2 linked regions of the Arabidopsis thaliana genome follow. The protein of the gene in region 1 interacts with the protein of each later gene in a pairwise test. Each region holds a gene or a part of one and is shown in the gene's direction. Other genes may lie near its edges.

Region 1 (6,113 bases):
CTATAACAGCTTTAACGCATTAGTCCAATACATATACAATAGAACATACTGTATATATCCTAAATTTGAAATCCATGAGCTTTGATTATGTAACTTCCCATGTGGTAAGTGAGACTATTGGTTATAGCTCCTCACTGTAGCTTTTGAATTACTCGTGCGTTGTATATAAATAATTATCCCAAGGATACTTTTGTTTGTTTGTGATGCTTTCTTCGATTATATCACTTAACATCAAAGTTTCATATGAAAGTTTTGACTTAATCAGTAGACTTTACTGCCCTTTCACGTACTACCGAACAAAATAGACTCAACTTTAACTTTAAAAGATTTGTCATTTTCATTTCAAATCTGATAGTTTTTCGAACTTCTTCTTTTTGTTTTTGTTAAAACTCGTAATTGAATTGCTTCAAACGCGAAACAACAGCAAAAATAAATAATTAAGTTTGAAAACAAAGATAATTCTGAATAAGAAAATATATCAAACAAAAAAATATTAAAAAAATAAAATAACTTCTGCTATATTTTGATAAAACGGCTATAGGTAAGATGTGAAATAATGTATAACATACAAGATTACCAAGGTCTTAAACATAACAAGACCTGAAATGGCAGATTCCACCACTTAATTATTTGTTCATGTCCTAAGTATCTTTTCTTTTTCTAAGTGGATCCTGCGGATCTAAGCATCAAAAGTAATTATTATCATATTTTCTTTTTGTTTTAAATTAAGTTTTTTTTAATTCTAAACTGATTATGTCAAGTACAATGAGATCTAATACAGTTTTCATAACTCCTAGTATTATTTAAAAAGAGTGTTGTATATAACGTTTAATCGCAGAAAAAACTCTCCAAGTTTTATTTCACGTAGATTTGGTCAAAGTAACCGATGAGAAAATTAGACATAAGTTTTGTTTTACACGAAATAAAGAAAGTGTTAGTATCACATAATGCATGTTATCTTTTTACTCAATAGTATACAAAGACCACGGGAGCGTCGTAAGTATGATTTTAAAACGGAGCAAATCCTATAGAAATAGAAACGGGTTCTTTAAGTTTCTACAAAATGTTTAAAAATTTGAAAGGATAGTGTAGAATTTATGGATGGATTCTTACTTAACATGCATGTGGAGTCCAAATAAGCATTAAGGAATATTAAAAGACACATAGAAACGTAAATATAAATATCAGAAGAGTGATTCTGGGGTAAACGTGCATTTGGTCTTTTTTTTTTTTTTTTTTTTACTACTAGTTAGTTTTTCTATTCAAAAGTTAAAAACTTTACCATTAAAAAAATAAATGGTGGAATCTTTCTTCAAATCTTCAAAATTTGAACAGAGTTTTTTGTAATTTAATCATTTTTATTTACCTTTGGATGAATAGCCACGCTGTTACTGTCTTTAAAAAATGCGCTGTTACTATCTATGTAAATAAATTATGACACATTTCTTGGAAAACGTAACTATTCCTCCTCTCTATCGTTCTTTTACTTTAATACAAAAAGTAAATATAAAAAAAACATTCGAACAGAGAGAAGAAAAACAAAATCTGCATCATTAATTACATACAACAGGTTAATGGAGAAATGGAAATGACACAGAACCCAAACTAGCAATGGGTGAAAATAAGGTAAATGATTAGTTACCAAAATCTAAAGAAAAATCTATGTTCAATCACGTACCAAATTGAAAAGATTAACCACAAATTACTTATCAAAAAAAATCCCAAGCAAACTAAACTGTAGTGTTAGCTCTTTCTTTATCCCCTTGTTTTATGGTCAAACAGTCAATGAGTTGCGTTATAAGCACATAAACAAACACTTCTTTCTCTAATAAAAATAAAGTTTCTATTTTTATATACAGAAAAGAAAAGAATATAAAACTTATATCTTTAAACCATTCTATATCCCGCTCACTCTCAGAGACAGTCCCTTTGCATAAAAGCGAATTGACTATAACCCATTTACTCTCTCGATCTGCCCAAGCTCCCATCTTTTCTGTTCGTAGAGCTCATTTCCCCAAATTAATAAAGAAAAAAAAAAAGACTTTTTTTCTTCTTCTTCTTCTTGAAGAAATTTCTGGAGCGTAGTAAGTTTCTATCTTAGTCTCTCTATCTCCATCTTCTCTGTTTTATTTTGCTTGTGAAATGTGATGATATTATTTTTATGCCGACCCTCTGTTCTTTTTTTTGAGGCGGTTCTCCTGGAGGGTTTCTTGAAACTTTATCTTGGTTTTGAAGCTTTTTTGGTTCATGGGTCACTCGGATTTTTCTTGGATTAAAGAAAATGTGACTTTGATTACTTTTTTTTTTAACGAACGGATCGATAGGTTTTTTTGGGAGATCTTGCAGCTTTAAATCATGGGTCTTTTCGTTATCCTCAGAAGAAATTTGATCTAGTCGTTCCTTTTCTTGTTCCTATTTCTTATGGATAAACATTTTTATATAAAAACCCATGAAAGAAATTTAGAAACTTTACTAATTTTTTCTTCAAATTTAATTATCTCCAAATTCTGCGCAAGTCGCTCCCGTCTTTGCTAAAATTGCTAAGACTTTTTCTTTCGAGCGTTGAGGGTTTTCTGCATTACAGTTTTCAAGTTTTTGTCAACAAGTAAATTGTAATTCACAAAGACTTGTTCTTTCAACTTGAATCTGACTTGAAACTTTGGAACTTGATTCGACGAACTTAAACAACAAGTACGTGTTGCAATTATTTGTCTAGTCATGAATGATCAGATAAACAATCCTCGTTTAGAATAAACAATTTCTCCAAACATCTTATATGCATTGGACTCTGCATAGATAAATATATATCTCTCTGTTTTGTTTAATCTTCATGCCATTGATCTTCGATTTCTCTTGACTTCAAATTCACAGATCGAGAGTTAATGTGGTGCTAAGTCCCAAACGTTAGAAAAGGGTTGGATCGTGTCAAAGGGTTTCAATCATGGGGAAGGAGAATGCTGTTTCTGGAAACTCTATACCAATCCATGGTCGCCCTGTAACTCGTGCTCTTGCCTCTGCTCTGCGTGCTTCTTCTAAGCTGATAACATCTTCTGAAGTGGCTGCTACAACACAGAACCAGGGACGGGTTCTTAGAGCAAAGAGTAAAAGAACAGCCTTGGATGAGAAGAAAGCCAATGCACCTAAGAAGCGAGCTGTTCTTAAGGATATCACTAATGTTACCTGCGAGAATTCTTACACAAGTTGCTTCAGTGTTGCGGTTGTTAACTACACAATGCAGCATTTTAGAATTGCTAAGTTTATATGACAAGAAGTATGTTTTTGCTGACAATTGTTGCTTCTTCTTTTTACTTAGGTGGAGAATATCAAGCAGATAAAGAAGGGACGACAGAGTTCTTCTTCTTCCAAGGTGGCATCTTCTTCGGCTACTTCACAAGTTACAGATGCAAAGGTAGAAGTTGTGTCAAATTCAGCAGGAGCAAGCTTGTCTGTTTTTACAGATACAAGCTTAGGCACAAACGAAACATCCTATAGCATTATCGCAAAGCCAAGCTCCAGATCGCCTCCAAGACCCTTTGGGACAGGTGAATTTTATAAATGGTCATTTACTGAAGCTTGAGTGGGCAATGTATAACATTTCTGATGCATCTTTATTCTTGCAAATGGTTTACAGTTGAGAGAAGTTGTGGTGGAGCAAGTAGCCCGAAATTCGTTGACATTGATTCAGATGACAAAGATCCTCTACTCTGTAGCCTTTATGCACCTGACATCTACTACAACCTGCGTGTTGCTGAGGTATTTATCCCTTGGATTTTGATATCTTACGATGATGCATTTGAGGCATTTGAATCCTTACGACTTGTCTACTTATCAGCTTAAACGAAGACCATTTCCTGATTTTATGGAGAAAACACAAAGAGATGTGACTGAGACAATGCGGGGAATTCTTGTTGATTGGCTTGTAGAGGTTAGTTCTCTACTTCCAGTTTGTTTGTTGCTTACTTATGAAGTCTTTTTGTGTAGCTTCTCACAACTCAAAATTTCAGGTCTCAGAGGAATACACACTTGTACCTGACACTCTTTACCTCACAGTGTATCTCATAGACTGGTTTCTCCATGGAAACTATGTGGAAAGACAGAGACTTCAATTGCTTGGCATCACTTGTATGCTCATTGCTTCGTAAGTTCCTCATCCACCTAAAATCAAATAATGCTCTGGTCTGAACACAACATCTAAAAGAGTTCTTGCAGGAAGTATGAGGAAATCCATGCGCCACGCATTGAGGAGTTCTGCTTCATCACGGATAACACTTATACAAGAGATCAGGTCCTGGAAATGGAGAGCCAAGTACTCAAGCATTTTAGCTTTCAAATTTACACCCCCACTTCAAAAACATTCCTCAGGTAATCTTACCAGACAGTGCAAATGCTTTATCATGTGTTGTTGCTTTTTAGTCTTTGGTGATTCAGAGTATTCATTCATTTTTGCAGGAGATTTCTTCGAGCAGCTCAAGTTTCTTTCCCGGTAATGTGCTTTTCTTTTATCAGATCAGATATATCTATTGCTCATAAAACATGTAGCAGAAAGATTGAAACTTTGTTGGTAATTTGTCTGCAGAATCAAAGTCTGGAAATGGAGTTTCTGGCGAATTACCTAACGGAATTGACGTTAATGGACTACCCTTTCTTGAAGTTCCTTCCTTCGATCATCGCTGCTTCGGCTGTTTTTCTTGCCAAGTGGACATTAAACCAATCAAGCCACCCTTGGGTCTGTAATTGACCAACTATCTTCTTCATTAAGAAACACAGCGAATCTTGAATCTCACTCTTGTTTACTTTATTTTATGAACAGAATCCAACTCTTGAGCATTACACAACGTACAAAGCCTCCGATCTCAAAGCATCTGTCCACGCCTTGCAAGATTTACAGCTTAACACCAAAGGATGTTCCTTAAACTCTATACGCATGAAGTATAGACAGGACAAGGTATTAAAAAATTATTAATCTTAGTTTGGTTTTCTTAAACCGAATGAAGAAATCTGGTCTGTTTCGGTTTAACAGTTTTTTTTTTTTTTTTTGGCAATTTACAGTTCAAATCCGTGGCGGTATTCAGTTCTGGAGAGCTACCGGACAAGCTATTCATCTCCTAACCGATATGACACACGAATCTGTAGTAACATTTTTCTGATGGTCCACATTCATCTGTCTGTCAAATAAAACAGTGTCTTCCCACGGTCTCTCATCATTACCAAGTAACCGGATTCGGTGTTAGTTCGGTTTAGTTGTAGACAGGTTTGGTTCTTTCAAACCGGACTTGTTCTTGTCGGTAACACGAGTTAATTGTAGTGGAATGTACATTTTTCCCCCGGTTTATTCAAGGCAATATCTGGTCTGCTTCGAATATTTTATCTTTTTATTACAGTTGACAGAGAGACAAAGCATTAATTACACATTATCCAACGGAGAAATTGTGACTCACATAGTATGTGGCAAGAATTGCTTTTTCGTTTTACGAAAAACCAATAATAAAAAATTATCAAGTTGGTCTTCTTCTTCCTCGTTGCTGATGTGTCGCTCTGCTTGAGAGAGTCAGAGAGTCAAGAGAGAAAAGGGGTCGAGAATGGCGGTCGCAATATCTGGGAGTAGTTTGATATCGTCGACTCTTCAGCATTATAATAATCGGATTTATATCCGAGATTATCCGATTCCGTGTCACTCTTCTAATCCAATTTGCAATTCTTTTAATTTCAAAAGACGTTCGTTCTCTCCTTCTTCCCCCAAATTTAACGACCATGTCGTTAACCCTTCCTCTTCTTATTTATCCTCCAAGCTTTCTCCAATTCGAACCCATTCCTCTTTCGCTGGTAAACGCCTCCAAATATAATCTCTTTTCTTTTCCTCGCTTCCTTCTAATTTTTGAGGTTTGCTTTTCTTTTCTTTTGATGATTGTTTGGCTATTTCGTAAATTTTATGCAAAATTGCTTTAGAATTTCCTCATGAGATTGTTTTATTACTCTCCTCGACGTTCTCTGGTTGTTTTGTTCTCTTGTTGTTGTTGTTGTTAAGGGTTTGATTGTTTCCATTGTGTTGGTTTGGCTCTGCAACTTCAGGTTTTCAGATTGTGACCTTCTTTTTTTAATTACGTGTGTAGCGT
Region 2 (4,212 bases), on another chromosome or scaffold:
TAAATCGGTTTGTGATTAGATCGAGTTACGTATGATTCAGTTCAAGCGAATGACATATCTCGATAGAAAAATTTCTTAGTTCAAGCGAGTGACACATCTCGATAGAAAAATATATGAGAAAATTGGAACCTGATAAAAAAATGTATGTGCTTTTAAAATAAGATGGATTACATCAATCTTAATTTAATCAAATAAATATTATTACAATCACACTTGCAAGAAACTGAATATGACGAAACTGTACGTAAATACATATTCAGAAAAAAAAAGTCACCAGGCCAATCATATTTTCAACATGTAATCACATAGACGATGCTATTGTTCCTCTCCGTTAATTATGTACGGAATGTCCAATACCGGGGCTATGACCAGGTTCCGTAGGTCTGAAGGTATCAACCCCGTGGCTCGGCGGCGACTCAAGTGGCTCAGTCGGAGGTGACGACGACAATACAGAGCCACCAGCTCTGATTTCCTCAGACGTCGTTACGGTGAATTTGGTGAGTTTTCGGCCTTCAATTGAACCAACACTAATAGTCAAAAGAAAGATAAATGCAAAAACGTAAACATTAATCGTCGCCATTACTAGAAAAACCGAGACGAGAATTAGAAAAAAAAAGAAGCTAAATTATAATATTTAGTCGAAGGCGAAAATGTATTATGTATTGATGCATGAAACCTCTTGGACCATCTGATGTATTTATAGGGATGAAATTTTACATAACATGGGCGCAACACTTGAGGAGATAAATTAAATATTTAGGGGGTATTATTGGTTTATGATTTTAAAAGAACTTTAACGATTATGTAAAATCGTTTGTTATTCAATCAAGATTTTTAAAAAGTTTATTAAAGTTCTTTGTTATTAATTTAAGATTTATAAAAAGTTTTCTAATATCTTTATAAATCTAGGGTTATAGATTCATACTTTTTTGTAAAGTGAGTAAAAGTTTTATGTTATTCAATTAAAACAAAAGTCGTCTGCATGACCTTCATGTAAATTTCAGTCCCTTCTTTTGATTGAGAAACTAGGGAATTTTTTGGATTGAAAATTGCTTGGTGAGTTAAGGAGATCTAATCTTGATGCTCACTTTATTGCCAAGAGCGTAACAAAAAATGATCGCCGTTAATCGTATGTAGCAACTAGGTTTTCTTTTTGGTTAAAACAACTTTTTGAGGAAGAAAAAAATGCCTAGTGTAATACTGGTTGATCTAGAATGATTGTCCTTGATCCACATTTTTTTGTATGTTTGGTTGGAAATTATGAAGTATATATTTATCTTTCAGTGAAAAAAAAAATATTTTTAATTTTTAAAGCAAGACATGGTAATTTGAATGCACTCGCCACTCCATTTTGTTCATGCTTTGAGACAAAAACAAAACATAGAAAGGCTGACAAGGCCCATGGGAAGTGATGGAGGCCAAGTTTAGTTCTTAGAAACCTTTACTATATTATGACTTATTAAGCCCAATATATCACGATCGACACGTGCTGTTGACAACTTGACATCAGGCTAAGCAAATACGCAGGGATAACAAAAATATAATTTCTAGTGTCAGTTTTACTTTTACCTTATTTTACTCACAGGTACGTAGTTTTTAGGCTATCCGTAACAATCCACCTATACTATACACATAATCTATATATAGTCTCTATCCAATTCATTTTAAAGTAATATGAACTTTCTAATTTTACCTAAACTATAAAATTCATCCCAACTATACAAAAAGCTTGTCAATTATAATTTAAAACATTTTAAACGGTTTCGCGTAATGGCAAATCTGTGAATTACCAATAGATGAGAGGGTTTTTAAAATAGTTAGTTACACCACAATTATTACGCCTCCCGTTCCGTTAAGTCACCGTTTATAACCGACACGTGTCAATAAAACAAACCATCGGCATAAGTAACTCCATAACATCCAAATAACGGCGCCTCCAGTTTCCCCGTTAAAGATTCCCCGTCACTGTAACGGGACCACTAAAACACGCCATTTCTCTATCACACACAGCACAAAACTCAATCCTGACCGTTCAAAACCAAATTCATCATCTTTCTTTCTTCTTCTTCCTCATCCTCTCAATCATATCTCTCTCTCTCACAGAGATTGTGACTTCACGCACACGTAACCTAAATCGAAGATGGTGAGAAAATATAGAAAAGCTAAAGGAATTGTAGAAGCTGGAGTTTCGTCAACGTATATGCAGCTACGGAGCCGGAGAATTGTTTATGTTAGATCGGAAAAATCAAGCTCTGTCTCCGTCGTCGGTGATAATGGAGTTTCGTCGTCTTGTAGTGGAAGCAATGAATATAAGAAGAAAGAATTAATACATCTGGAGGTTATTTAATGTTGTTGATTCTAGATTCTTGTAACTGTATATGTATCATTTAATGTTAATGTATTTTTTTTTGAAATTTTGAAATTTTTGTAGGAGGAAGATAAAGATGGTGACACTGAAACGTCGACGTATCGACGGTGAGTGTTAAAAAAAAAACTGAAAATGATTTGAATTTTGAAGGTTTTATTATTTTCCCGGTTATTTATTTGACTCTCTCTTCAATAAATTTAGAATCTTGCTTGTGAGTTATTTTAGGGGTACGAAGAGGAAGCTTTTTGAAAATCTGAGAGAGGAGGAGAAAGAAGAATTAAGTAAATCCATGGAGAATTATTCATCGGAATTTGAATCGGCGGTTAAAGAATCGTTAGATTGTTGTTGTAGCGGGAGGAAAACGATGGAGGAGACGGTGACGGCGGAGGAGGAGGAGAAGGCGAAATTGATGACGGAGATGCCAACGGAATCGGAAATTGAAGATTTTTTTGTGGAAGCTGAGAAACAACTCAAAGAAAAATTCAAGAAGAAGTAAGTTTTTATTTTATTTTGTGAGTTTGATTTTTATAGATAATATATTTTTTATTCATAATTTAAAATTGATTTTGAGGTAAAATTAAGAGTGAGTTTATTTTTTTTTAATTAGGTACAATTTCGATTTCGAGAAGGAGAAGCCATTAGAAGGACGTTACGAATGGGTAAAGTTAGAGTGAAGAAGAAGAAGAAGTTTATGGTTTTTTTTTTAACTTTTTAGATTTTAATATTTCAGGGAATAAGTTAATTTTATTTTGTTGATTTGGAAATATAAGATTTGTAGGAGGAATGTTTTTAGAAGTACGAAATTGCACAGAAAAAGAAGAAAGCTTTTTAACAGATTTTAGAGCCCAGAAAAGTCGTGTCTTTTAGCTCTACTTTTACCTCTTCTTCGAATCTTGTGTATCTTTTAGCATATTCTTTAGTACATTTTTATGTTTTTGGTGACTGATAAAATTCTATCCCCACACAGGTACAACCACACTCATTTTTTTGTCTTCTCCGTTTTAATAATATTCAACCAAAAACATCAAATGCATTTTGGTAGATTATCTTACCGCCCTAAACGCTTAAAATTATTTTAGAATTTTATTTCTTACAACGTTTGATATGGATTAAAAAGTACTATGAAATTAGTTATTATTGTTCTACTACTTAAATTAACTAATCGACAATTTCAGTGCAGTTTTTTGTTGAACAAAATCGTACCAACCATGTCAGCTAACCACACCAACTAATTTTTTTGTTTCATATTCAGCACCGAATATGATTGAGCTCGACCAATCAGAATTTCAAGATGATTCTGTTATTCTTAAAGTTTATTGATTAATAACAAATCACAAACATTCTATCACACGAAACTTGGTTTGAAACTTTTCAAAATTTTAATTATAATAATACTAGCATATAATAAAACTTTAGATCTGTAAAGGGCATACTGTACTGGCCCAATGGTTAGAGAATTTTGAGATAATGCCATAAATACATTATTCCAAATGATGCAGGACCATTTTGTAACTAGACAAATTATCCGAAGACTTGGAAACAAAACTCTTTCATGGACCATTTCAGAAAATCTTCAAAACAAATGATCATGGACCATTTTGTATATGTAAGCTTAATTCAGATCACAAACAGGTTAAATGAGGGACTCAAATAAACAAAAACAATTCTTTCATCGAGGGCTGTTTTATTTTCGTGATATTGTTAAGGGAAACTTAAAGATATGTTTGGAATGGCCAAGTCAACTAAATTAACTATTTTTTAAGAAGTCAAACTAAACTTTAGGATTTAAATGACATTTGAAAAGTTCATGTTTTTTTCGTCAACAATATGAAAGTTCATGTTTT

The links.
Region 2: the proteins of CYCA2;4 (region 1) and ICK1 interact in a protein complementation assay, tested with the Arabidopsis thaliana proteins (one study listed by BioGRID).

Annotation. Positions count from the first base shown.
Region 1 is NC_003070.9:30,211,753-30,217,865, forward strand, and holds CYCA2;4 (Cyclin A2;4), read left to right. Parts: upstream 1-1,952; 5' UTR 1,953-2,084; intron 2,085-2,871; 5' UTR 2,872-2,941; coding exon 2,942-3,217; intron 3,218-3,313; coding exon 3,314-3,542; intron 3,543-3,631; coding exon 3,632-3,753; intron 3,754-3,832; coding exon 3,833-3,925; intron 3,926-4,004; coding exon 4,005-4,138; intron 4,139-4,209; coding exon 4,210-4,362; intron 4,363-4,449; coding exon 4,450-4,483; intron 4,484-4,576; coding exon 4,577-4,726; intron 4,727-4,810; coding exon 4,811-4,945; intron 4,946-5,049; coding exon 5,050-5,109; 3' UTR 5,110-5,350; downstream 5,351-6,113. Other genes in the region: AT1G80380 (P-loop containing nucleoside triphosphate hydrolases superfamily protein), read left to right, coding at 5,580-5,823, 6,111-6,113.
Region 2 is NC_003071.7:9,975,850-9,980,061, reverse strand, and holds ICK1 (Cyclin-dependent kinase inhibitor family protein), read left to right. Parts: upstream 1-1,971; 5' UTR 1,972-2,140; coding exon 2,141-2,338; intron 2,339-2,431; coding exon 2,432-2,475; intron 2,476-2,593; coding exon 2,594-2,860; intron 2,861-2,975; coding exon 2,976-3,042; 3' UTR 3,043-3,472; downstream 3,473-4,212. Other genes in the region: AT2G23440 (uncharacterized protein), read right to left, coding at 332-580. UniProt on the Arabidopsis thaliana protein: Binds and inhibits CYCD2-1/CDKA-1 kinase complex activity. Regulates cell division which is crucial for plant growth, development and morphogenesis. Functions in turning cells from a mitotic to an endoreplicating cell cycle mode.